Linked DNA regions of Schizosaccharomyces pombe. Changing the gene in region 1 together with any one later gene gives a genetic interaction. Each region holds a gene or a part of one and is shown on either strand. Other genes may lie near its edges. The genes, in order: SPOM_SPBPB10D8.02C, dca7, sea2 and sqs2.

Region 1 (5,900 bases):
GCAAGCTCTTCTTCAGCCCTTTTTCTATATTTCATGCTATGGCTGTAATATTCCTGCAGGGTTTATAGCCTATGGAGTCCAATATGCAAAAAACACCATATCTCCTTGGAAGCTCTTTATGATAATCGTCGGAGGAATCACATTTTTTTTAACTATTGGACTCTTTTTTTATTACCCAGATAATACTTCTACTGCTAGATTCTTGACCAAGAAAGAGAGATTATACACAGTTGACCGTGTACGTAGAAGTAATCATAGCGGTATTGAGTCGAAGACTTTCAAGAAGTATCAAGTAATCGAGGCGTTAAAGGATCCAGTGACATGGTTATTTACTTTTCATGTTTTTTGCAATCAACTTTCCAACAATTTAGCTTACCAACAAAATTTACTTTTTACAAGCTTGAATGTTTCTGATTTGAATTCTACCTTGGTGGGCGTCGCTAGTGCCGGATATAATTGCGTTAGCGCAATTATAGCAACTTATATGATGAGTGTGATAAAAAACCAAAGTGCCTTTCACGGAGCTATATGGTATATCCCAAGTATTGCCGGAGGAATTGCGTGCGTAGCCATGTCATGGGATCATAAAATTGGGGAGTTAGCAGCTATTATTATAGCAAGCAATTTTGGTATCCCTTTTATTATTTCTCTTGGATGGACAACAGCCTCTTGTGCTGGATACACAAAGAAGCTTACTCGTGGTGTTATGTTTATGATTGGATATGCCATTGCCAACATCATTGGCCCACAAATGTGGCAGAGTCGTGATGCCCCGAGATATTATCCTGCTTGGATTGTTCAAATAGTAATTGCTTGGTCTGTTTCTCCCTTTGTATTGCTGATCATTCGCTGGATTCTTGTTCGAAGGAACAAAAAGCGCCTTGCTCTTCTTGAGCAGAATAAAGAACAGTATGAAAAGACTTGGATTGAGACGATTGATTCTTCTGGAAATCACGTTTCCGGTTTTTACGAAAATTCTATGCTTGATTTGACAGACCAGGAGAACCTATCGTTTATTTATCCCTTATAATTATCCATTTAAACGAAGGAATAAATCTTAAAAAATAACTTTTTGAAGTATTCATGAGAAATGTTTACAAAATAATTTCAAATTCCCAACAGTCATGAAAAATCCTTCTACTATTTGCTTTTTTTTTTGCAAAATTTTGTATTTTTAAACTACTTGCCCGTAAACTCTTAACTTATTTTAGACTACTACAAGACAGTTGCTTTATTTACTTGTTTTTTTGTTTCCTTTAGGATTCCTAACCTTTAATAGTAATCTTCGTCTTTAGCGAAGAATAGTTTGAAATTTTGTTTGTATATATTGCTGAAAGCTTTATTCAGTTACTATTTACATAGATTGAAAAGAAGAACTAGCATTCATTGCTAAATAAAATGGAGGTCGATTTTTATCCCCAATGGTTTCTCATAGTTTACTTTGCTGCAAAGTTGCGATTGAAAAAGAGATGTTCTAAAAAAGTATTTTTATATCAATTATAAAGCCTAATACGTAGGGGAAATCCAAACCAGTTAAATTTTTCAGCTCGGCTTTGCATTCCATCTGATAATTTTCGCTGTAGATTATCATATTTAAAAAACATTGAATCAATTGGTAACTTAGCATATATACGTTGATAGATGAAATCAGCTATTATTAGATTTTATAATCTTTAAACTGTGGTGTTTAATAAGTAAAAGACTGGAAATAGCCCATTAAATTAAACAATTAGCTGAACCCGAGTTCCATATTTGCAATAAGTTTTTTACCATTAATAAACTGCTATGTGGTGTTTCATTAACAGTAAAAAATTATTGTAAAATTCAATATCATGAATAATCATTAAAGATTGTGCTTAGCTGGTTTGAACAAACCGACGTTTTCGGCAACAAAATCGTCTGGGGCTGTTACTACTCCAGTTTCAGCTTCGTAGACCAACCAATACTCGATGAGTTCGTTTAGAATATCTGGATGGACTTTCGCTAGATTTTCAAGCTCACCTTTGTCCTGGGAAAGATCATACAGCTCCCATTCTGTTTTTATTCCTTCTTTAGGTACATATATTGCCTTATAATTTCCTTTTCTGATAGCTCTTTGCCCGAAAAGTTCCCAGCCGCTAAAGTCAGTATCTTTGTGTACGGGTTTTCCATGCACAAAATGGTCAATCCAAGGTTTCCCACGGGGGATTACAACATCTCGTCCTTGAAATTTGTGCCCTGGGTGAGGGACTTCTGCTAACTCAAGGATGGTTGGCAGGATATCCATAACCGTAACAAACTCATCGGAGATGATGTCTGGCTTGATCAATGGAGGATAGCGAATTATAGCAGGACATCGAATACCACCTTCTGTAATAAAACCCTTGCTAAGTCGAGAAGGAGCGGTCGCAGCCTGTGCCCATCTTGGTCCGTACCAAATAAATGAATTATAATTACCCAAGTTTTCCAGTGAATTGTCAAAATACTTAACCGGTGGTTTTGTGCTTAATACCGGGATTGCTTCCAAAACTGACCCTTCTGCACCGTTGTCTGACATAAATATAACAAATGTGTTGTCAAGTTCTCCAATAGTTTTCAAGTAGTCAATAACACGACCAATATTCAAATCTAATAATTCGACCATTGCAGCATAAACTTCCATCGTTCGCGCAGAAAATTCTTTCTCTTCTGTTGTTAGTTCGTCCCATGACTTGGTTCCCATTCCATCTACAGGTGCTGGAATTACATTTTCTGGTATAAGTCCCAAATCCTTTTGGGCTTGCAAGCGATTTTTTCGTAACACATCGGGGCCTTCACTATATCGTCCACGATATTTATTAATATATTCTTTTGGTGATTGCAACGGCCAATGAGGTGCTGTAAATGGGAGGTAAGCAAAAAATGACTGGGATTTTTCACGATTTTTTAACTGATCAATTAATTTTTCTGCAAAGTAATTGGACGAATAAAAATTTTTTAAGCTTTTGTGATCAACAGGATCATGATTGTGGGTATACAATGGTGGTAAAAAAGGTACAGCAGGGTTTTCTCTAGTACCAGGTTCATATGCAAAATGATTACCACCTCCAGGTAAAAGTGCAAAAGATTCTTTAAATCCTCGCTTTGAAGGGTAACGATCTGGGGTTAGTCCAAGGTGCCACTTTCCAGACATTGTGGTATAGTAACCCGCTTCCTGTAGAATCTCTGGTAATGCAGCAACTCTATCATTTAGGTAGCCTTCGTACCCAGGCTTTCCACCCCATACTTTCGAAAACCTGCGTACTGTCTCTGCCATTTGCCCTAAACCTGCTATGTGATTGTCTGTACCGCTTAATAACATAGATCGAGTAGGCGAGCAAGCAGAGGCTGTATGAAAGTTTGTCAACCGTACACCTTCCTTTGCAAGCCTCTCAATATTTGGAGTGTGTATTTCACTTCCAAACGGAGAAACATCTGACCATCCAAGATCGTCAGCTACGATGACCAAAAAGTTTGGTTTTTTAGATTCAGCTTGTTTATTAAAAGCCATAGTTACTATTCAAATTTTTTTTGATTGCGAATAAATTTTTATGCAGCTCAAACTGTAATTTTTATTTTATGTTCATAAAGGGCATGTGAGACAAGAGACAGCCCACAAGTTGATTAAAATATGAAAAAATATATTTGCAACAATTGTCTTCCGTAATAGATTGCAAAATTACAAATACCTAATGAAGAAGTATGGCGTGCTATCACGTAAGCTTTGAGTAACATCATCCATATTAAAAAAGATACTCATACATTCCAATTTACTGGATCAAACTGTAATTTACTTATCTGAATATTTTAGAGATAAGATTCAGTAAATCAAGTTTAAAACTAATTACTGTCACTCACTCAATATGTGCAAAACTGAGTTTACTGACCAGGAATTGACTTTTTTTTTTTATTTATCAAGGAAATATTAATTGAGTTATCAATCCCAAAGGAAAATATGTGAAAATATTTAAACACTCGCCAAATTATATTAATTGATCTTTATATCAATAAATGCTTTACTCTAGAAAAAATCGGTTTCGGTAATATACTACAAAGGAACCTAAATAGATTTTGAAGCTTTATACATATAAGAAAACATTAATTTTCTAAAAGATACCAAATGATAATTAACAAGGACGTCGATTTTCGTTATTTTGAACTTTCAACGAGAAATGTCAGTGGAAGATTCAACATATTTTCTATGAGATAAATTAGATATAATAACATTTTGCTTTTGACAATAACTGAGAAAAATCATATTTATACCTAGATTTGTTGAGTGATACGAATTTCATACAATTTAATGGGGGTAAACTGCGATTAAAATTACGTTTTGGTCCTTTGTATTGTCTTATTGATATGAAATATCAGACACGAATATTTTCATACTAAGTGGTAATAATTAATTTACAACTGACCTCGGATTCTCTTTTCGTTTGAAATTAAAATAATACTTAATTATTACAATTGGAATTTAATAATCTCGATTAGTGGACGTAATATATATGAAGATATGAAGAGTATAAAAGTATCGAGATGTATCATAATAAAGCTTAATGCTATATATCTGAAGATTTTTTTCTTGGTAAATTGTTTCCGTAACTAAGGGCCGTCCAATAATTAGACTTCCTAAGTTCAAAAATAGTGGACCAATTGTTAAAAAATACAGATAAAGAACATCTTAAGACATTCACAATATACAAAAACAACTTGTTTCAATTGTAGGAACTTGTAAAGTTAAAGGATTAAGTTGTTGTACAGAAAGGATCTTTGCGTAATGTTGGATCCGAGAAAAGATGTAACATTCTCAAACAATCCATACATCATTTCCCTTCAACGCACTTTTGGTACTATCAATTGCAATTATAAGTGAATTCAAATTATATCAAAAGAGTTACGTAAATTCATATTTATCAGATTTGGTCTGATATTATGTTAAAGTGTAAACTTATTGAGCAGCACCCACTATTTTCTTTTTACTCATTATTATATCGGATGTATTCAAACTTGGTTTACATTTAAATAGTAATAGCAAATCGTTTTAATTACAAATTAGAATTTACACGTGTTAAGTTGTCATTGTTACTCGGTAAATGCATCCTAGATTATGACTATAATAATTTTGTTTAAACATTCCTTTTCTTAGCATGTTTTCATTTGTGTTCGATGGGTAAAAAGCTAATAATATTATTATAAAATAAGCTGTATTATAATAATAGGTTGTCTGAGCCGAAGCAAGTAATTGTGCTAACTACATTCCCATATACGCTTATTATTGCAAGGAATTTTAAATGACTTGGAAATGATTAAAAAGCAAAATTAATTGGCTGTTCACTTTTATATATAATGTAGCGGCATGTAAAGTGCTACTAGTATAGGCATATAAATATTTATTTGAGCGGACATCTTTTTTTAACTATAGTACTTGGAAAAATCGTATACGGTGGATCATTAGCTGATTAAACCAGAAATATTACAACTTAGTTCAACAACGCATTATTGAAAGTGAAAGCGAGTCCTCAGATGAGCAACATGAAGTATATCAAAATGGTATTATCTACGATACTGATTAAAAGGATGAAGCATCTATATTTGAGAAATTAGGTGATGATGAATCTGCTCATGAGGACAATATGCTTGAACTTGGAGAGCCCTAGGAATTTTCGAAATTTTTTTGGAAACGGAGAAAGCTAGATCCAAACTCCATTACAACAAAAAAATCCATTTTTGATGATCCTAATACGTTAGCTGCTTTCAAACCTAGTCCTTACTATGAAAGTAGACACCGCATCGATCCTTTTTTTAGATGGATATGGGTCAGGAACAAAAAGTTGTTCGTAAAATAGATATGCTCATTATTTCATGGGCATTCATTATGTTTTTTGCACTAGAATTAGATCGTG
Region 2 (5,233 bases), 3.2 Mb from region 1:
CGAAGAATGTTCATAGCTTGATTATAATATCCTCGATGGATGACACCCAATGCAGCTGTTGCAGTAAATTTTGACCAGTTGTTGGCCTTGGATAACCAGGAAAGGTTGTCGCGGAAGAAACTATCCGAGGAAGTACCGAAGTTCATGAACGCATTGGCGAACGTAACTGCATTATGAAAAACCGAGTTCCTGGCTTCTAAAGAATCTTTCGTCCTGTTCAGAATAAGCATATCCGTATTGTTATGTGCATATAAAAATTCACGGTCATATTTAACGGTTTGTTCACCAGACAAAATTCGAATAATATAACCACAAGGAGAAGAATCCTCCTTTTTCGAATCAGCGTTAGCGTCCTCTTCGGAATTGGCCACAGAGGGAGAAGGAAGCAAATCCATCACACTATTTAAAAACTCTTGTGGAGCCGAATCTTCAAGATCAAAGGCTAATTGATACGCTGTCAATAAGCTTTTGTCATCGTTTTGAGAAGATAGTTTCATTAAAAGTTTGGCTGCAACAGAGGCATCGTTCAAATGAACAACGCATTTTCCAACTGAGAAATAATCAGGTTCTGTTTCTGTCAGAAAAGAACTTAGTAATAGACGAAGTAAGCGGTTTCGGAATTCAATGTCTAAAACAACAGTCATTGCAAGTTCCAGTACATAAGGCTTTAAATCTGTCTCTTTGTCTGCATTTAAAATGTATTCAATAATGTCAAGTCGATGAGCCTCGATAGCAATTCCCAAAACATGTCTCCATTCGTTTTTAGCATAACATTTTTGAAAAATGCCCTCGACTACGCCACTTAGTCTCTCGTCCAAGGGGTCAGCCTTTGGATTTTTGTACAACTCTGCACTTTTATGAATAAACATATCAATACATTTGAAAATTAGTGTTTCTTTGTAATCACTATTTTTGTCATGCAAAAACTTTGGACCACTTGACAAGGCAAACAAAAGAGCCTCATCATATTCTCCAAGGTAATAATAAACTTTTGAGACTACCAAGGCTGCTAATTCGCGTTCAGGAAATGAATGGTCCTCATACATAACCTCAATTTTCGTAACATCATCCGATATTTCCGGCCATAATTGATCAATAAACTCATAAATTTTTAGTAAAGCATGTACTTGTAATTCTCGCTCTTGCTCGTCCAGCAGGGCCATCAAACCACCTATCAAAAGGATTAGTGAACATGATTTCTACATTTTTTCATTGTTTAACGCTCGACGTACCTGCTGACGTTATAATAGAGGTGTTATCAGAGTACACCATAGTCATTTCGACGAAACTAGACCTGTTTATTTAAATCTTACAAACTATATAACAGCAGGTGGTGTTTCGTTGTTGGTAAATACCCTGAACCGTTGTGCTTCATTCCACCAACACATTCGGTAAGGGTAGGGCACTTGTACCAATAAATGTTTCAGGTATATTAAATGTAATGCTATATCATGTTATCCACACCACACCACCTAAATAATATTCAGTATTATCGAAAAAAGTCAAATTGTATGTTTCATCAACTATGTAAGATATCTCAACCCAATGAGGGATTTATATGAGTATCGTATCAAAATGAACGAACTAAGTAAAGCTATTCTGATCGTTCTATAATATGATTCTCATTGCCTTCTTATCATTCGCTTTTAGTATCGATAAATTTATAGTCTTTAGCTTAACAAAGTAGCTAATTTTTGTCGAATTTTTTTTTTAAAGCATTATAGTTGTTTGACTTCACAGTTATACTTTCATTAGTATTTTTTGATAGTATATATTACGCTGGGATCATTCGTTTAACTTGCAGTACGTATCAATGCCTAGTACAATATTACTTTACAAATACAATGTAATATAACAATTATCATGGTTCAGTAGCTTTGCAAATGAACTGTTTGATCAAGAAAATTTAATGTATTTCATAATTTTTCTCGAAGTCAATTCTATCAGTAATGAAATAACTAAGCCACATGGATGCGTCCAGAAATGATATCGAGGCCTTCCCATGCCACAATGTTTTTGGCTTTATTAAAACCACTGTTTTTTATTGCTGGCATGTTAATTGAATGGACATTTTTCGATGTCGTCAAACTGGAAGCAAACAGAAGCTAAAGTAACCCGAAATGTATTTTGTTAAAACATAACTATCTTAACTCTAAATAGATATAAAAAATTCTGTGTTTCACGCATACAATGATATTAATGTATATGTAATGATACCTTAACGGAAGCGCTGAGTACGGGATCAAAGGTCAATCAACAAAAAAGGGTGAAGCAATTGTACGCAGTCGCTTCTTTTAATTTACTAAAAAATTATTGAATAGGAAAAAAATTACAAATATAATAAAACAATTCTTCATTTTTGCGTTTTCGCTTTGCAGCCGGTATTCGCTGTTTGCTTTGTATTGAATATACATCATAAGTGGGGCGCTTACTTACTTTATCCCAATATCCACACTTCGCGCACAATGACAGATTTACGTAGAAATAGGTATTCAATATCTGCTGGCGTTGGAAAATCAGTACTTGATTCACTTGGCAAATTCTACGGATCGCCCAAAAGACAACTGCCTAACAAATTTGAAGCGGGAAAAGAATATACTGGATACAATGCACCGTGGATTCCATTTGCCTTGGATTGGTTAAAACAAGGAAAATATTCTAGTGAATGGATTGCTATGGGAAGTTTGAATGAAGAACCAAATAATATGGTATGCTAATTGCAAAACCAGGGGAAATATTATATAATTTTATCTGTGCTTCTTTTGGCATAGACTCCAAAGATGTACTCTGTTCTACGAAGTTACTAACCAAAAAATTGTTTAGATACAATTGTTAAAACTAATAACTGGGGATGATGGAAATTCTCACTTGGAAAAGGCGCAAGCAGCAACTGATCTTGAATACCCAGTTACGAAGTTGTTATGGAATCCTTCATCGGTTGGTTCTAACACCGACTCCCAGTTGCTAGCTTCTACGGATCAGCAATTGCGATTATGGAAAACCGATTTTGAAGCGGGGATTGATTCTCCTTTGTTATGTCAAGCCTCTTTATCTACCGTATGATTTTCTTTTTTCTTCTTGGCGACTAATGTTATAGCATGTAAAAACTCATAATAATGCTCCTCTAACTTCGTTTGATTGGTGCAAAACTGATCCTTCATATATCGTAGTGAGTAGCCTTGATACCACTTGCACAGTTTGGGACATTGTAGCCCAGCAATCAAAAACACAATTAATTGCTCACGACAAAGAAGTTTATGACGTTGCGTTTCTCAAGGACAGTATCAATGTTTTTGTTAGCGTAGGAGCTGATGGCAGCGTCCGCATGTTTGACTTGAGGTATGCGATCCACAATCGGCAATTGGATTTTTCCTTTTGACAGTAGTTTGTTAACTTTCTTTAGATCATTGGATCATTCCACGATCATATATGAGGGCGATAGCACCTTTTGGAAGAGAAACGGTGACTATACAAATGCTTCTCCTCCTGTCTCAGCTCCTTTACTTCGACTTTCTGCTTGCGATTCCGATGTTAATTTAATGGCAACTTTCCACCATAATTCTTCTGACGTCCAAATGATTGACATCCGAGTGCCGGGAACTGCTTATGCCACTTTGCGTGGACATAAGGGGGACGTGAATGCGGTTAAATGGATGCCGGGCTCTAAATCAAAATTAGCCACTTGTGGGGACGACTGTGTCGTTTCCTTATGGGATTTGGATCAGCCAGTTAATCCTTCCCCAGCTCCAACGCTGAGTGTATCTGGAACTACACCTGGTATGACGGGCTCGACTTCAGAATATGTGACACCCGTTTCGTCGGTGAATTCTATGCGTGAGACGGCTTCTCCGTTGAATGCTGATAACCAGTATTCTCCCTTACTATCTTGGAAGTTGGAACACGAAGTGAACAATCTAAGCTGGTCTGTAAAAAACGACGGATTAGCGGTTGTTTACGGAAAGTAAGCACTTTTGGAGTAAAATAAATATTAACATCTTTTTTTAGATCCCTTGAAATACTGAAGGTCCCTCAATGATCTAGATTTTGTGATTAGTGTTGTTTTACGCATTTCAATTTAAAAAAATTAAAAAAAAATTAGATTATGAATGCAAATACACTGAGGAATAAATTTCTTACGCTTTTTTCATTTGCTTAATTACTTTGTCAAGCAAAGCTAGTTAGGCATTTTATGTTGTCCTTCGTTGTCTTCTTGTTAACTATTAATAAAATTCAAAAAAGTTATGTTTGTTTTTGAGAAAATTTGGAAATAGAACCCTATGAGTTGCGTGTTGAACTATGGTTTTTTCAAATCAACTACATGTCTTTCGGAAACTTTTGGCAATTGGGTTTGCACATTCAAGCGCAATGTTTATGCAATTTCCACTTTCATTTGCGTATCTCAGCAACGCTGGAAATGTACAAAGCTCTAGGGCGATACGTGTTTTCAAATGATAAGGAGTCAAGCAACTTTTACAGAATTTTTTTAATTTAGCTTTCTACATCGATTAAAACTTTGAATAGTCTTATTCTATTATTGTTATGAAGTGAAATCTCTGTTTGTTAAATTAGTGCGGCAGGAGCTTAAAATACTTTACGTTTTTTGATTAATGAAGCAAATTTACCGCAAAATGTAACACATGTGGAATTGTAAACGATTTGATAAATCATAAATCAGAAGCCATGGCTGATTACTACAAAAAATCAGCTGCATGCTGTGAATGCGATGCATGGAACACAAAACACATTAAGCGTTACATCCATATGTGTAAATGAAAAGAGATAGGGATTACCTACTAGTAAAGAAAATATTAATGCTTTTATTATGGATTCAATTAAATAGCAATTAGTAACGATTTTGTCATAACTAACTTTGATTTGACAAGTACAGTGACACATAGATTTTTTAACTTCGTTTAACTTCGCTTGTATTAACGTAGCATGGTATATTAGCTTAAATTTACTCTTGTCGTTAGCTACCACACTAAAATAGATAGTGATGATCATAACAGCTAAGAACTGCAGTGCAGTATGAATTCGTTAAGAAGCAGTCAAGAATTCAGTCACAGAAGACTGCTTTGTGACGTTGCTTTAATACTTATAAAACGGAACTTTGGTATACAGCTGGGCAAGACTCTGTTTACAAAATCTATAGTCATGTTTCCGATAAATAAAAACGCGTAATTCCTGATTTACGCGATGTTCAAATCCTAACTGAAGTCTCCACGCGTATCTT
Region 3 (8,757 bases), on another chromosome or scaffold:
CTTGCAAGGTAAATCGTTTGTTTTGTAAAAAGAAATACGTACATGCGAAAATGCGACCCGGAAAAAAAGCCCCATTTGTTTGTTTATTTATGCGGGACCCGTTTCGTCAAAATTAAAGCCGATGCTGATGCTGATGCTGATGCCGATACTAAACATGGTAATGTACGATTATATCCATTAAATATGTATTTATAGCAGTACTTTTCTATTAATCCCATTGTTGTGAATATTGAGATTTTTATACAATTTTTTATTTACCTTTTTCTTTAATAAAAAAAAAAAAATCTCCCCTCCCCCCATTGCAGACGAAATTTTGTGCGCTTTTTTCTATAATACTAATTGTTGCTTGTGTTGAGCAACAATATAGCATCATGTACAAATTAGAAAATAAAAATTCGATTTGTGATAAGTTGTCGGAAGAATAAACTTTGAAAATGTACAAACGTTTTTTCCTCTATATTGACTCTTAGCGATGTGGAAATGGCAGTAGCCTTGGTTTTTTGCTACTCTAAAAGAGTTTGATTTGTTACACTTTAAATGTTTAAAAACTTATTTGTTTGATTTCTTTTAATAACACTAATGTCTAAACAAATGCAATACATGCAATTTTATTATCTACTTTGTTTCTTGCAAAACTGGTCTACCAGCATTTTCTTTTGTATACAAGCTTTAAAATTTTTATTTAATTTCTGACTTGAGTAAATTTTAAGCAAACAATTTTAACAACATCTCTAGTATTTCTGCAATTTTCAATGTACATACATTTTTTTTTTATAATATCTCACAAAACTATTTGTAAATACGTTTACCGACCTGCTTATCATTTAAGAAATTGAATACAAAAATAACAAAATAAATAAATAAAGTGTGCATTTTTATTAATCACTGATACTTCCATAACTAATTTTTGCAACATTTTTTTTTTTCTCTGCAGCTTTGTAAGGAAACGCTCATGAAACAATGAATTGTCGTATTGCTTTTTTAAGTCATTTGATACGACGAGAAATCTAGCAATACAGCACCAAACATAAGATTTTAAATGTGTTTTCAAACTACGAATCAAACTATAATTCAATTTATGTTTTAGTGTCGTAAAAAAAACATATCATTATGAATATTTAAAGCAAAACTTAAGCTTCTATATTTATACACATCTTTTACAAGACCTCACGTTTCACTCCTATTATGGATTCGGCAGATTTTACGAATGAATGAAAATAAATAAGTTATCAAAAAGTACAAGAAGCGAAGATATAAAGTTATACAATCTTCAATCTCTTTCCCTACACAAGACTAATACATATTTCCGGTCGGGTCCCTGCGTCTAGAAAATGCAATCTTCTCGGTTCCCTGTGTCGGCATATCAAAGCTTCCATACTGAAGACTATTTACGCCTTCTCGAAACTCACGCTGCTGCTGTGCTGAGAAAACACGAGGCTTCTTCTCTGCCAATTTAGGACCCAAACCACGAACTTTGCCGGGAAACATTTTCGCGGCATAGCGCGAAAAGGAGTGAATACTTCTTAAAACCTGTTCATCATTTCTCCGCTCAAATAAATCAGAAGTTTGAAACATATCTTGTGAAGGAACATGTACAACTTGCTGTGCATAGTTAATGAAGGCAGATATGTTTTCCATTTGGACAAAAGGCATGTTAGATTCTTTGTATCGAATGTTAGCGCCTAAAGCTTCTTTGCAAATTCTGCAAAGAATCACCCCGGATTGTAATTGATCCAGTAAGTCTAACTGAGCATTCAATTTCGTATGCAAAGTTTCTTCGATCCATTCTCTTGCTTCTTTTTCAAGTTGAGACGTCATTTCTCACGAAAATTTAAATAAAAATAAAGAAAAGTTCCAAGAAATTATATCACGGAACGCCCAATGACAGTTTGGTTTTTCAGAGGTGGTTAGTGAAAAGCGGCTTCGTATAAGCCTGACGAGTGCCATCTTAATTCAATGTGTAGCAACTGGACTTAATAGATCATTTAGCGTAACTCCAGCTACGCAATTCGTATCTGAGTTTAAGGTACAGTAGACTGCGTAAACTCTTTATCAGCAAACTAACTCTTGTACGGTAAACTGATGATTTGTTCTTACTAATTAGTACTATATAAAGTAGAGTCGAATTACTTTGCTTCACAATTCGTTTATGGAATGAAGACTTGTTTATTTAATTTCGAAAGCATCATTATATTACAAAATACAAACCGACAAGGTACTGCAAACCGCTTTTTCGATTGACACTGTGCAACTGACATTGGACTGACCGGCTTTGCTTACTTATATCGTCATATATAACATGTTATCTTCATATTTAATATTGTAGCTACTATAACTCTACGAAAGAAGCATTGAAAGATAAGCTCAACAGTACCATTCTTTAAATGTTGTAAATCAGCGTAAACGAAATTTTAAATCATAAGTCATGTATACGCGACAAATGCCATAGTAAAATGTGAAACCTATATAATGAACTCTACAGGAATGCAGTATAGCGTTACAGGATGCAATATTGCTGATTCATAGCGAGATTCAGAAGTAAATTCACAAAACCAAACTTACTAGAAGCAATAAGCAACTGAACTTCGTAAAAATAAATTATATTTGAACTTTTATTCTTTTGAAAACTTCCGATGTGTAATTGTTCTGATTGAATTTCCTCAATAATTGAAAATTCGAAAGCTCTTATTTGTTCACTAACATTGGACTTGATATTTACATTAGCAGAAACTTTTCTTACTGTTAGTTGCTCCTCTACTTTTCTACTTTATCTTTTTGGTTAATGTATCAAAACAAATAGTTTGATAAAGAATAGTCTACTTTTTTCTGACTTTTACTATTGAACGATCTTGCAACGTTAATTTTACCAATGTACGGTGAGTGTCACCATACTTGCATTTCACTTCAGCAATTTCTTTGACTTCCTGTCCGATATTTAAGAACTTGTTTCCTTTTCTGTATGCAAATTTCCTAAATCATTTTAGAAGGCATCAGCTGCTACTCTACCAGCTTCATTTTGTTTTCAAATTCGTAAATGCCTTCACGAAACTCAAACGTCCTTCAGCGACCTACTTATGCCCAACTTGCTAGCACATCTGTAAAGTCATCCAAAGGACTTGTTAGTTACCAAGACTGGGTTGTTGATGTAAAGGCCTCCATCAGTGCTATTTCGGTAAATAAAAGCCGTACAAAAGTGGGTGTAGCAGGCCGAGAGCTTCTAAAAGTTCTAGCTGTTAATCCAAACTCTTCAAAGCCTCCTGTTTGCATCTCTGACCTTCTACAAAAATCAACACAAACAAAGCACATCTCTTGCAATGATGTAAAGTGGGGTAGTAGTTTTGCTTCAAATTTAATTTTTACATGTTCACCGCTTGGTAATCTCAATGTATGGGATGTTAATTTAGAAGCCCTTCTCTATGACTTTAATGAGCATTCTCGAGCCGTACATAAATTGGATATCTCTTCATTTCACCCGTCTTACGTTTTAACAGCCTCTCAGGATGGGTTAATTAAGCTTTGGGATTACAAGGAAAGCTCATCAACAATCACTTTTCGTGGAAATTCTGAAGCTGCTCGAGACGTCGTATTCTCCCCTTCTGAGCCAAATGAGTTCGTTGCCGCTTATGACAGTGGGATCTTGCAAAAATGGGATATCCGGTTTCCAAAACTTCCTTTTTTAAAATTAGCTGCACATAATGGTGTTGTTTTGTGTGTTAATTATAGTCCTAATGGTGTTTTTTTAGCGTCATGCGGGAGAGATAAGACTATTCGTATTTGGGATTCCACAAGCAACAAAAAAAAGTCCCTTATAACTATCAATAATGTCAGTCCCCTCAATTGTGTTCGTTGGCGACCGGCTAATCAGCAATCGAGAGGTTCTAATCAACTTGCAAGCTCTTCTCTTGTAGGTGATACCGCAATAAATGTTTGGGATATTACTAGGCCTTATATCCCATACAGAACCGTCAGTTGTCATGATAGTATTGTTTCAACGATGCATTGGGCTTCTACAGAGCTACTCTGGTCTTGTAGTAAAGATGGAATTTTTTCTCAGACGAGAGTTGAAAATGCCTTTAATTGTATTGATATGCTTCCACGTGCAACTAGTTCATGGTCAACTAAAAATAGCCTTGTGTTCTCTTCAAATCCTATTTCTAATCAAAGATTGTCGTCGTTAAATCGTGTCGCATCTTTTGAGAGCAATATCAGCTCTTTAAAGTCCGCTTTATATGCCTCTCAAAATTCTGATGGGTCCACAAGTAATCCTGTTCCTTTTGTGCCTCACAATTTTGTTGGCATTCCTCAGGAACTAGGGATCCTTGCATATCGCTCTGAAGATGTTGCTCAATTTTGCTATTTAGCCAAAAATTATCGCATATCAGGAGATATCTCTTCTGCTTGTAAAGAGAACGCATTTTTTGCACGAAATGTTGGAGCTGAATTTGCTTATCAAATTTGGGATGCTTTGTATTTTTCACTAGGGGTACTTAACAATTCTGATAAAGGAATTAGTGAATTAATAAATATTCCTTTTGTTTCTGCTAACAATTCTATGGCTGATGATGAGAAAGGTCGAAATTTAAAAAATTTAACGCAAATTTCAACGTCCTCAACCCCCGCTCATGATAATTTATCATTAAATGATTTTTTTGAACCACGGGAAGCATCTACTCCTTCAGAATCCTCTAATTCATCTATCGAATCCGAGGACAATCTCGATAAAGCCGTCCTTAATAAGCAATCGCAATGGCATGATTTAGAAAATCCGATCGTATTAAAGAAAGGACAAGCACCGGTTAATAATTTTTCAACTGATAGCCGGGCAAGCATCAATTCATCCTATTTACTAGATTCTGCAGCATCAAATTATTCTGGTACGTCACATAACGAAATGTTCAATTCATTCCACAGAAGTTCTGTTACATCTGCTTCAATCAAATCGAGAGAAGCCGTATTGAGTGCTGGTAATTCTTCACGTCGAGCATCTATATTTTTAGACCAGTTATCATTACATGGAGATACTGATTCTGAAATTCCTATCGATGATCTACCTCCTATTGAACTTCCTTATGTTGTTACATCGATTATAAGCGACTGTATATCTCGAGGAGATGTCCAAACGGCAGCCTGCGTTTGTTCAGTTTTTTCATACCTAACTATAGATTTACCACGGATTCAATTAGACGATTTACTTGAAAGTTATGTTGATTTGTTAAGGAGATTCGGAATGTTCAGTGAAGCTACTCTCCTTATAAACATGTCTGGTTCAAAAAATCTCAAGTACATTCATTCAAGTAGTAGAGATTTGATTTTTGAAATGGAAAACAAAAAAGCAACCGGTAACGAGCAATCCGAAAAAGGTAAAGAAAATGCAAAGACCGTTACTAGTCTCAAAAAATGTGTTTATTGTGAGCTACCGTTAAGAGGCGTGCTCGTTTATCCTCCCGTTTGTGGCCACATCGGTCATGAAAGCTGTCTACGTTCTTGGTATTTTGATAATACAGACGATGCATTGCCAGTATGTCCAGTTCCCGGCTGCGGTGTCAAACTGCTAGATAAACGTGCTCTGATTTAAAAAACTATAATCTAACGCATATGTACTTGATGAAAAATTTGTATTACTATAAACTAATAATGATAATGTGGGATATTTTAAAAACCCATTTTTCTAGCTTTTTCACTAAATTCCATTTAACTAAAGCAAGATGTCATAAAGCACTCAAATTAGCAAAAATCAAAATATACATTAATTGCCCAAAATCCAGTTACGAAAATAAATAGCTCCTCATTCATGCAAATGCATCTGGCATATCTTCCTCTAATCTGTCATTCGTCTCCAGTTCAGTATAGCTTATTACATGAGTAGGTCTATGCTCTAAAGCAAAGAATGGCAGAGGGACATCAAGTTTTAAACTGTACGTCATTTTAGGACTGAAGCTTGCACCATTGAAATTATAATTCCATACGCCCTCTTCTGGTACCAAGAAAAATCCTTGAATTCTATCGGACAATAGCAGCTGACATTTTTCAGCCATAGAAGGTTCATACCCGATAGCTTCATCACTGTTGATATCCATGTTTTTTGATCCCCACTCAATTCCTTCCTTTGACACAGTATATGCAGCTAAGGATATCGAACCAGGAATGTAGCTCACTGTCAAAGTTACAGCTTTGGTATCCCATTCAGGATGAGAAGATAAAATTTTTGCATGTGTAGTTACATCGACAGATGATAAATAGGGAAGTTCAGAACTTTGAGTGTGTATCCAACCAAGGGGCTCAAGGTCTTCTAATATAGAAGGCTGAAGATCATGAGGCAGTTTAGAAGGAAGCTGCACATTTCTTATACTGCCAAGCTGTGGTACAAGTGCAATACAACGAATTTCCTTAATTTGAGGGTTGTCTGACGGACTTTTACCATACATATATCCGGCAACCTGTGTCCTTAAATCGGATATCGTAACAAACTTACGAAGCAGATTTTGAGGAAGAATGTATGTATAAGGAAAAGTTTCGCTGATATTATCAGAGTTAACATAAATGTTTTTTGTACGAAGGGGTAAACTGATAGATGATATGGCACGATTTCTCCATTCTGTTTTACTAGAAAACTTTTCATTTTCATACGCAGATGTTGTAGTAACCACCATTTCATCACCATGCACGTTAGTAGTTTTTGTGGTGACAGCCGTAACTTGGGCATTCTCACGGCCTTGCTTTTCTATTTCAGCTATCTGTTGACGTTGAAGAGAAGGAGCCGTTATTGTCATACCGAGAATAATATCTCGCACTTCCGAGTTCGTAAGACTAGCAACGTTAATATTGTTTTTCTTAGCATAATCAGCAAGGATCAAATCTCTAAGTTTCGGTTCAACATCAAGCCATTGTTGATCATCCAGGTTGGGCCACACGTGATTCTCTTTTGTAATTATAGACTTGTCTGGTCTAAGAATTAGCTTCGTTTTCTCAGTATTGACATTCAATGCGCGCAAGATAAGTATCAAGCGTGAAAAAGCTGTATACGATGATACCGATTGAAGCCAGTCATCATATAAATTGAAAAGTACCATTTGCGGTTCGGTGGCACGTAAAATCAAATCATTGATTTTATCAAGTTTAATAATCGCTTGGAAAGGAAGCTGTAATTCACTACCCTTAATGGTTATATTAGGAAAGTCCAAAAGATGAACTTCTAATGGATCCAACATGCCCTTTCGAGTTACTATAATCTGTCGAGGTTGTTCTTCAACAGGCAGAGAACGAATCAAAGCAGCAACTTCTTCAGCAGTCTTCCATTTCGCCAATTGTCCCAATCGTTTTTGTCCCGCCCAAACTGACGTATGAATAACTTTTAAGAACAATTGACCAGTTCTCGGATTGAATATAAAAATAGCACCATTAATGGGTTTCGTAGTCAAATTACCTTCAAATGTTTTATGAATGGTAACCCGATAAACATTAGTATCATCAACGAATAATTGAATTTGATTACTAAAGAGTTCAGCATAATTTGAGGAGGACAAATACTGCTCTTGGGGTTCAGAAGCATATAATTGAAGACCTTTTCGTATGCGTTCACGCAACACATATAAGGCTGGATTGGCTTTCATGATCTTGTTCATGCTCTGTTGAATTAATGGTTTCATACCAGGAATCCAGTTACCATATGCACTATGCATATTGTAACAAAGATCAATGCCGATTAAGACACCGGTCGGTGAAGGATACATGCTTTGAGCATCAGTGCTATAATCCAAAAATTTAGCTCTAGTATAACGTTCAATATCATGAGAATCATAATCTCCAAATCGAAGTTGTACATCAATCCAATATTTGTTGGTGGTAGTGTTGTCAAGCACATCGCGATTATCGTTCAATAAGGATGGCCTTGATACGTTCCATTTATAGGCAGCCAAAAGGAGGATATCTGCACAAGAACTATTCATTTTATAACTTTTACGAGGATGGATAGTTTCTTTTTGGACTGTTTCAATTTGCAATGACTCTAATTCTTGGTCAAGCACTTGACACAAATCCCAAACAACAGATTCATGAATTTTTTGCCATAAATGAGAACGAAAAATTTGAATGAGTGAAATCTTCAGGGTTGGAATTTTGCCATGCATCATGATTCCAGTCAAATCCAGTTGTACTTGAAATCCGACATAAACGTTAGCACGATTGATAGTGGGACTCCACCAAAGCGTAAATCTACGGTTAGGGATTTGATTTAAACCTGAACGCTGAGCATTAGTAAGCTTTTTGAACTTCATGGATTCTTCAAAACCAGATGCTTTTTCCCAAAAAAGACCTTCCCATGAAGGAAATCCAGTAGCTTTAAACATCGTATGCTCCAAAATACCTTCGACACCACCTAAAGCCTGAATGACATCTACTCGGTAATTATTTAATTGCCATAATTTTCCATCATGTCTTTGACTCGTCCACCAGAATGGATTGTTTTTAAGGAGCTGGTACTGCTTAAACTCAGTCCTAACACGCCATCCTTTATCATATGCCAATGTGTGTCTATCTTTTTGAAATAGAGTATTTATACGAGGAATTCCTCGATCCCATGAATCTTCCAGATCCTCTAAAGTTAAACGACGATTTTGTTGTAGAGCTTCTTGTCTCTTCATTGCATACTCAGCCCATACACGCTGAGAGTCAATAAACTCTGATTCCCATGGCTGAATATAACGATAAAGGTTTGGAATCAAATGTTCTCCATTGGTAGTCATTCCACTTCGAAAATGA
Region 4 (4,521 bases), on another chromosome or scaffold:
CTTCGTTCTACTATTACATTGCCAATTGCTATTGCAAGCCTTAAAACGGCTCGTCGGTTTGTGCAAGTGCAACCACTGATCAAAGAAGCAAAGAAACGTTGCCGAACAAATACCGATTTCCGTACTGTACGAAAAAAGCTGTACAAAAGGTTCAATTGTCATCCTCTCATGATTTACGCATTGCCTATTACTCAACTACCTTTATTCGCGTTTGCATCTTATCAGTTAAGACAGGCAGTCGATGTATGTCCCGAGAGTATGTCAACAGAGGGTATGCTTTGGTTTACCGATCTCACATTACCAGATCCTCACGGTGTACTACCTGCGGTCCTTGCTGTTACTTATTTAACAAACATGTCTATATTGAAGCGACCTTCGGATTCTCGATTGCTGAAAATATTCAATACCGCTGGTATAATGTCTGCTTTCTTTGTATCTTTTATGGCATTTAAGACTTCTACGGCATTGTCTTTATACTGGACTACCTCTGCAATTTACTCTTTGGTACAAAACGTTGCATTGAGAAAGCTGTTATAGAAGAGCAAGAGTAATTCTACATGTTTGGTTCTGAAAGGTCTTAACAAAATCAAACCTGACTAGTCGAGACTCACATATTATTCCTTCTTTCTTTCCGTACATAATTACCTACATTCTTATGGTAAAGCTAGGTTTTTGATTTGTTATGGCCTACCAAAAGGAAAATCTTTTGTCACAAAACATCTGATCATGGCAAAAACTGACTGAATTAGTAATGAAAAATAAGATACTTTATTATTAAAATGCCAAATAATATTTAATAAATATCATTAGTATTACAGGCTTGTTCGTGTGACATGAGTTTGGCATTTCAAGGATGACTACCTGCAAAGCTTTTTGAGAAATGCAACCTCGCCGATTACTCCATTTTTAAGGAAGAATTTAACTATTGATTTCATGTAAGTCGTTTTTAAAATTTACATTTTTTTTAAAAACATTTGACTTATTCACACTGTTTATTACGTTAACTACGGTAAATTTCGATAATTTTCCCACTTGCACATCCTTGACTTAAGCTAACCACCACTATGAGCTGCATATTTTGTAAAATTGTTAAAGGAGATATTCCTTGTGTGAAACTAGCTGAAACAGCCTTGTCTTTGGCTTTCCTTGATATTGCTCCTACATCTAAGGGACATGCACTAGTTATTCCCAAGGAGCACGCCGCTAAGATGCATGAACTGAGCGATGAGTCTTGTGCAGATATTCTTCCCCTTGTCAAAAAGGTGACAAAGGCTATTGGTCCTGAAAATTACAATGTACTTCAAAACAATGGTCGCATTGCTCACCAATTTGTGGATCATGTTCATTTCCATATCATTCCCAAGCCTAACGAAGAATATGGATTAGGAGTAGGCTGGCCCTCTTATCCTATTTCTCCTGAAGAAATAAAGGCATTGGGCGAGGAAATCAGCTCTAAGATTAAATAGTTTTTTTTTGTTCTGTGTGTCTCGTTGAATCGAAACTTTCCTTGACTTGGCGAGAACTATAAGGAAAACATGAGCCCTGTCTTTGTAGAATAGGCTTGTGTTTTTCATGAAAGTCGTTATTGGGTGTTGTTTGACGTTTATGTTTTTTAGAAATGAAAAGTTTGTTTTATACACTTTTACCTACTTGTTTTACCTTTCCAATGTAAGTAGTTGCTGTTATCTTTGCATAGTTTAAGGTGAATAAAGGGATTTTGTTTAGTAGTGTGCATACGGAATGTATGGTACAAATGTTTGGACCTGTTATTCTAGTGATTAGAAAAGGTGTGTTTGAAGAACATTGTTCAAATTGTAGTCTAAGGTCTAAATATTAATCCATGCAGGGTAGTTGGTTTCCTAATATGAGGTTATGAAACTTGCAGACGGAAAGATTAGTAAATGTGCATCAGAGAATGTTTATTTCCAGTATCATATTATTTTATTGATGACCTAGCTTGTTTTTTTTCTTTTAAGAAAATGAAAGACATCTTGCGGCGTCAACTTAAAACTTGATTGTTTGAAGAAATTTTTGCCGGACAGCATTGAAGAATTCTAGTATTTTTAACATGCAAAATTATATTTGAGCCTTTCTATCAGGGTATTGCTAATAATTGATCAAAACCACTGCGATAGTATTTACTTACCCAAAGTAACAATTATTCATCAACCAAGTCACACTTGGTTTATAGTAGCAAGCTATACTGCACGAACAAAACTTTTATAATTGAGAGCGAATTTGTGGAATAGTCAGGCTTGATTTTAATAAATCCCTATTATTATCCTTGATCTCATAAAATTTAAGTTTCTTGGGTTGTGCATTCTTTATAGCACCAATGCCAACTCAGGCTGGTTTTTGTAAATTTGCTGAATTTTCGAACATTTATTAATACAATGGCAATTATTGTGGAAGACGGTTCTTTTATTACATCTTCTCAATGGGAAAATGTAGAGGCATCTCCAAAACCTCCTCCAAGGAAGCCAAAGATTGTTCAACCAAAAAAGAAGCCATCGAAGCACTTGAGCAATGAGGATGCTTTAGAAAAATATGAAATGCTGTTTGGTGAAAGGAGAAAAGAAGTGGAACTAGATTATATGAGCCACATTGCGGAAGAAGAGACTTCGTTGAGCATGATTGAGTATGATCGTCATTTTGCACTTCAAACTGACGTGAAATTGTCAAAGAAAAGAAAATCCAAACTTGTTGAAATGACTCCTAAAGGTTTGAAAAAAAGGAAACGCGTGCAAATACAGGAAGGAAGTGTGTCAACCAATACAAAAAAGCGTATGGACGGTCATGTTGTTGGTTCTAGCGCTCCCGCTATAAATAATGGCAAAGGAAAACAACTTTTAGAAATGATGGGTTGGTCTCGGGGGAAGGGACTTGGTTCTGAAAACCAAGGAATGGTTGATCCGGTTGTGGCTGTTGTAAAAAATAATAAACAGGGTCTTCATTAGTTTTTGACGAGGAGATTTTAAATCCTCATAGTGTATATTTACAAAACATTATTTATTTAGAAGGAAAAATTACTTTTCACCATCATTTTGGGAAAGTTTCTTTTTTATAAAGAATTTTATTTTTGGTTGCTCATCATGATGACTATATAAGAAATAATAATTAAAGGAATTTTACTATATTTTACCGTTGAGGGTACAATCACTTGAAATAATTCAATTTCATAAGTTTTTCATAAAGAGAGCAATAGAAAACTGGTAAGTTGAAAAACAGCTTCTAATTGTTAAAAGGACGGAAATACATATTTGGAAAAGGGGGAAGGAATGAACAATGATGAGTGCATTTACGTTAAAAATGGTTAAGTCGAATAGGTGAAGGACAGACTTATCTTCGAAATGGAAGAAAAAAGGAAAAACAGGATATGAGAAGAGATTCAGTAAGGATTATAAATTTAAGAGAGGAAAAGGCTTCGCATGCGAGTAACATCAAAAGCAAAAAGTGAAAAAAACTGTGTATACCCAGATCGCTGTACTGTAAAGTTTCATTTGGATTCTATTGAATAAAAGCATCAGTTGATCAAACTAAAAAATCGATCAGTTAATATAAACAAAATAAAAAAAAAGAGCATTCTAAACATATTTGAGCGAATGTAATAGAAACGTACTTTTTGGAACTTTGAGTTTCTTACTAGTCATAGCAATTCCACTCAACACAAACAAAACCACAAGCGGGTGAAATGCAAAAGGTGTGTTTCCACACCACTCACCCCAAGGTAGATTTTCATGAGTCTTTCCCTTTAAGATACAAACTCCGCAAACGGTTACTAAGGAGAGGGTGGTAGGAATGGGCGTTCCTTCGAAAAACTGAGACTTGCCAGATCCATCTTTAGGAATGGAATTGACAGAAACATTAAAACGAGCCAATCTAGTTAGACCACACAAAACAAAAAGGGAAAGTATAACGGTATCAAGGAACGTTTGGAATCCACAACAAAAGGCAAAGACGGCTGGAGATACGCCAAATGAAATCTATTTTGTTAGTATAATGATATAAAAAGACCGGATAAGAGAGAGAAAAAATATATATAATCAAGAATTATACGCAATCGCATGTTTATTGAGAAAAATTCAGACTCATTGAACAAACCGACATAATGTAAAAAACGAGAAGCAAAAAAAAAAAGCTCGACTTAGCTAAAATGAAGAAAAAATTCAACCAAAGAAGCCTCTTATCATGTTCCTCGTGTTTTTATCATGTCAAAGCAACCAATGTGAAAATAGTCTCGGAACAGATTTGAGAAGTTATACATACCAGATCAGCAAGACTATCCAATTCCTGACCCATTAAGGAAGATTTCCCACGCCAACGAGCCACTTTACCATCCAAAAAGTCAAAAAACAACGCAAATGGCATAAAGTACATTGCATTCCATAAATGGAAAGCTGATTGCTGTCCGCTTAGGCAGTAACGTAAACTTGAAAATATACTCATGACACCGCAAAACCCGTTCATTAAAGTAATCAAGTCTGCAAGGTGGAGGGCTCTACAATCCTCTAGTTAGTATTT

Evidence for each region.
Region 2: mutations in SPOM_SPBPB10D8.02C (region 1) and dca7 together harm fitness less than expected from each alone (positive genetic interaction), as found in Schizosaccharomyces pombe (one large-scale study listed by BioGRID).
Region 3: mutations in SPOM_SPBPB10D8.02C (region 1) and sea2 together harm fitness less than expected from each alone (positive genetic interaction), as found in Schizosaccharomyces pombe (one large-scale study listed by BioGRID).
Region 4: mutations in SPOM_SPBPB10D8.02C (region 1) and sqs2 together harm fitness more than expected from each alone (negative genetic interaction), as found in Schizosaccharomyces pombe (one large-scale study listed by BioGRID).

The regions. Positions count from the first base shown.
Region 1 is NC_003423.3:81,924-87,823, forward strand, and holds SPOM_SPBPB10D8.02C (arylsulfatase), read right to left. Parts: upstream 3,596-5,900; 5' UTR 3,509-3,595; coding exon 1,844-3,508; 3' UTR 1,306-1,843; downstream 1-1,305. Other genes in the region: SPOM_SPBPB10D8.01 (cysteine transporter), read left to right, coding at 1-1,030.
Region 2 is NC_003423.3:3,321,564-3,326,796, forward strand, and holds dca7 (WD repeat-containing protein), read left to right. Parts: upstream 1-2,439; 5' UTR 2,440-2,465; coding exon 2,466-2,708; intron 2,709-2,823; coding exon 2,824-3,057; exon of another isoform or gene 3,058-3,077; intron 3,078-3,097; coding exon 3,098-3,339; intron 3,340-3,364; exon of another isoform or gene 3,365-3,403; coding exon 3,404-3,961; intron 3,962-4,005; coding exon 4,006-4,036; 3' UTR 4,037-4,448; downstream 4,449-5,233. Other genes in the region: proteasome regulatory subunit Rpn2, read right to left, coding at 1-1,171, 1,233-1,278.
Region 3 is NC_003424.3:2,654,862-2,663,618, reverse strand, and holds sea2 (SEACAT complex subunit Sea2), read left to right. Parts: upstream 1-2,563; 5' UTR 2,564-3,034; coding exon 3,035-5,575; 3' UTR 5,576-5,789; downstream 5,790-8,757. Other genes in the region: SM22/transgelin-like actin-modulating protein Stg1, read right to left, coding at 1,294-1,818; U5 snRNP complex subunit Spp42, read right to left, coding at 5,790-8,757.
Region 4 is NC_003421.2:1,789,782-1,794,302, reverse strand, and holds sqs2 (G-patch type RNA-binding protein), read left to right. Parts: upstream 1-2,228; 5' UTR 2,229-2,393; coding exon 2,394-2,957; 3' UTR 2,958-3,492; downstream 3,493-4,521. Other genes in the region: protein Cox18, read left to right, coding at 1-537; hnt1 (adenosine 5'-monophosphoramidase), read left to right, coding at 1,065-1,466; CDP-diacylglycerol-serine O-phosphatidyltransferase Pps1, read right to left, coding at 3,532-3,536, 3,620-3,983, 4,267-4,498.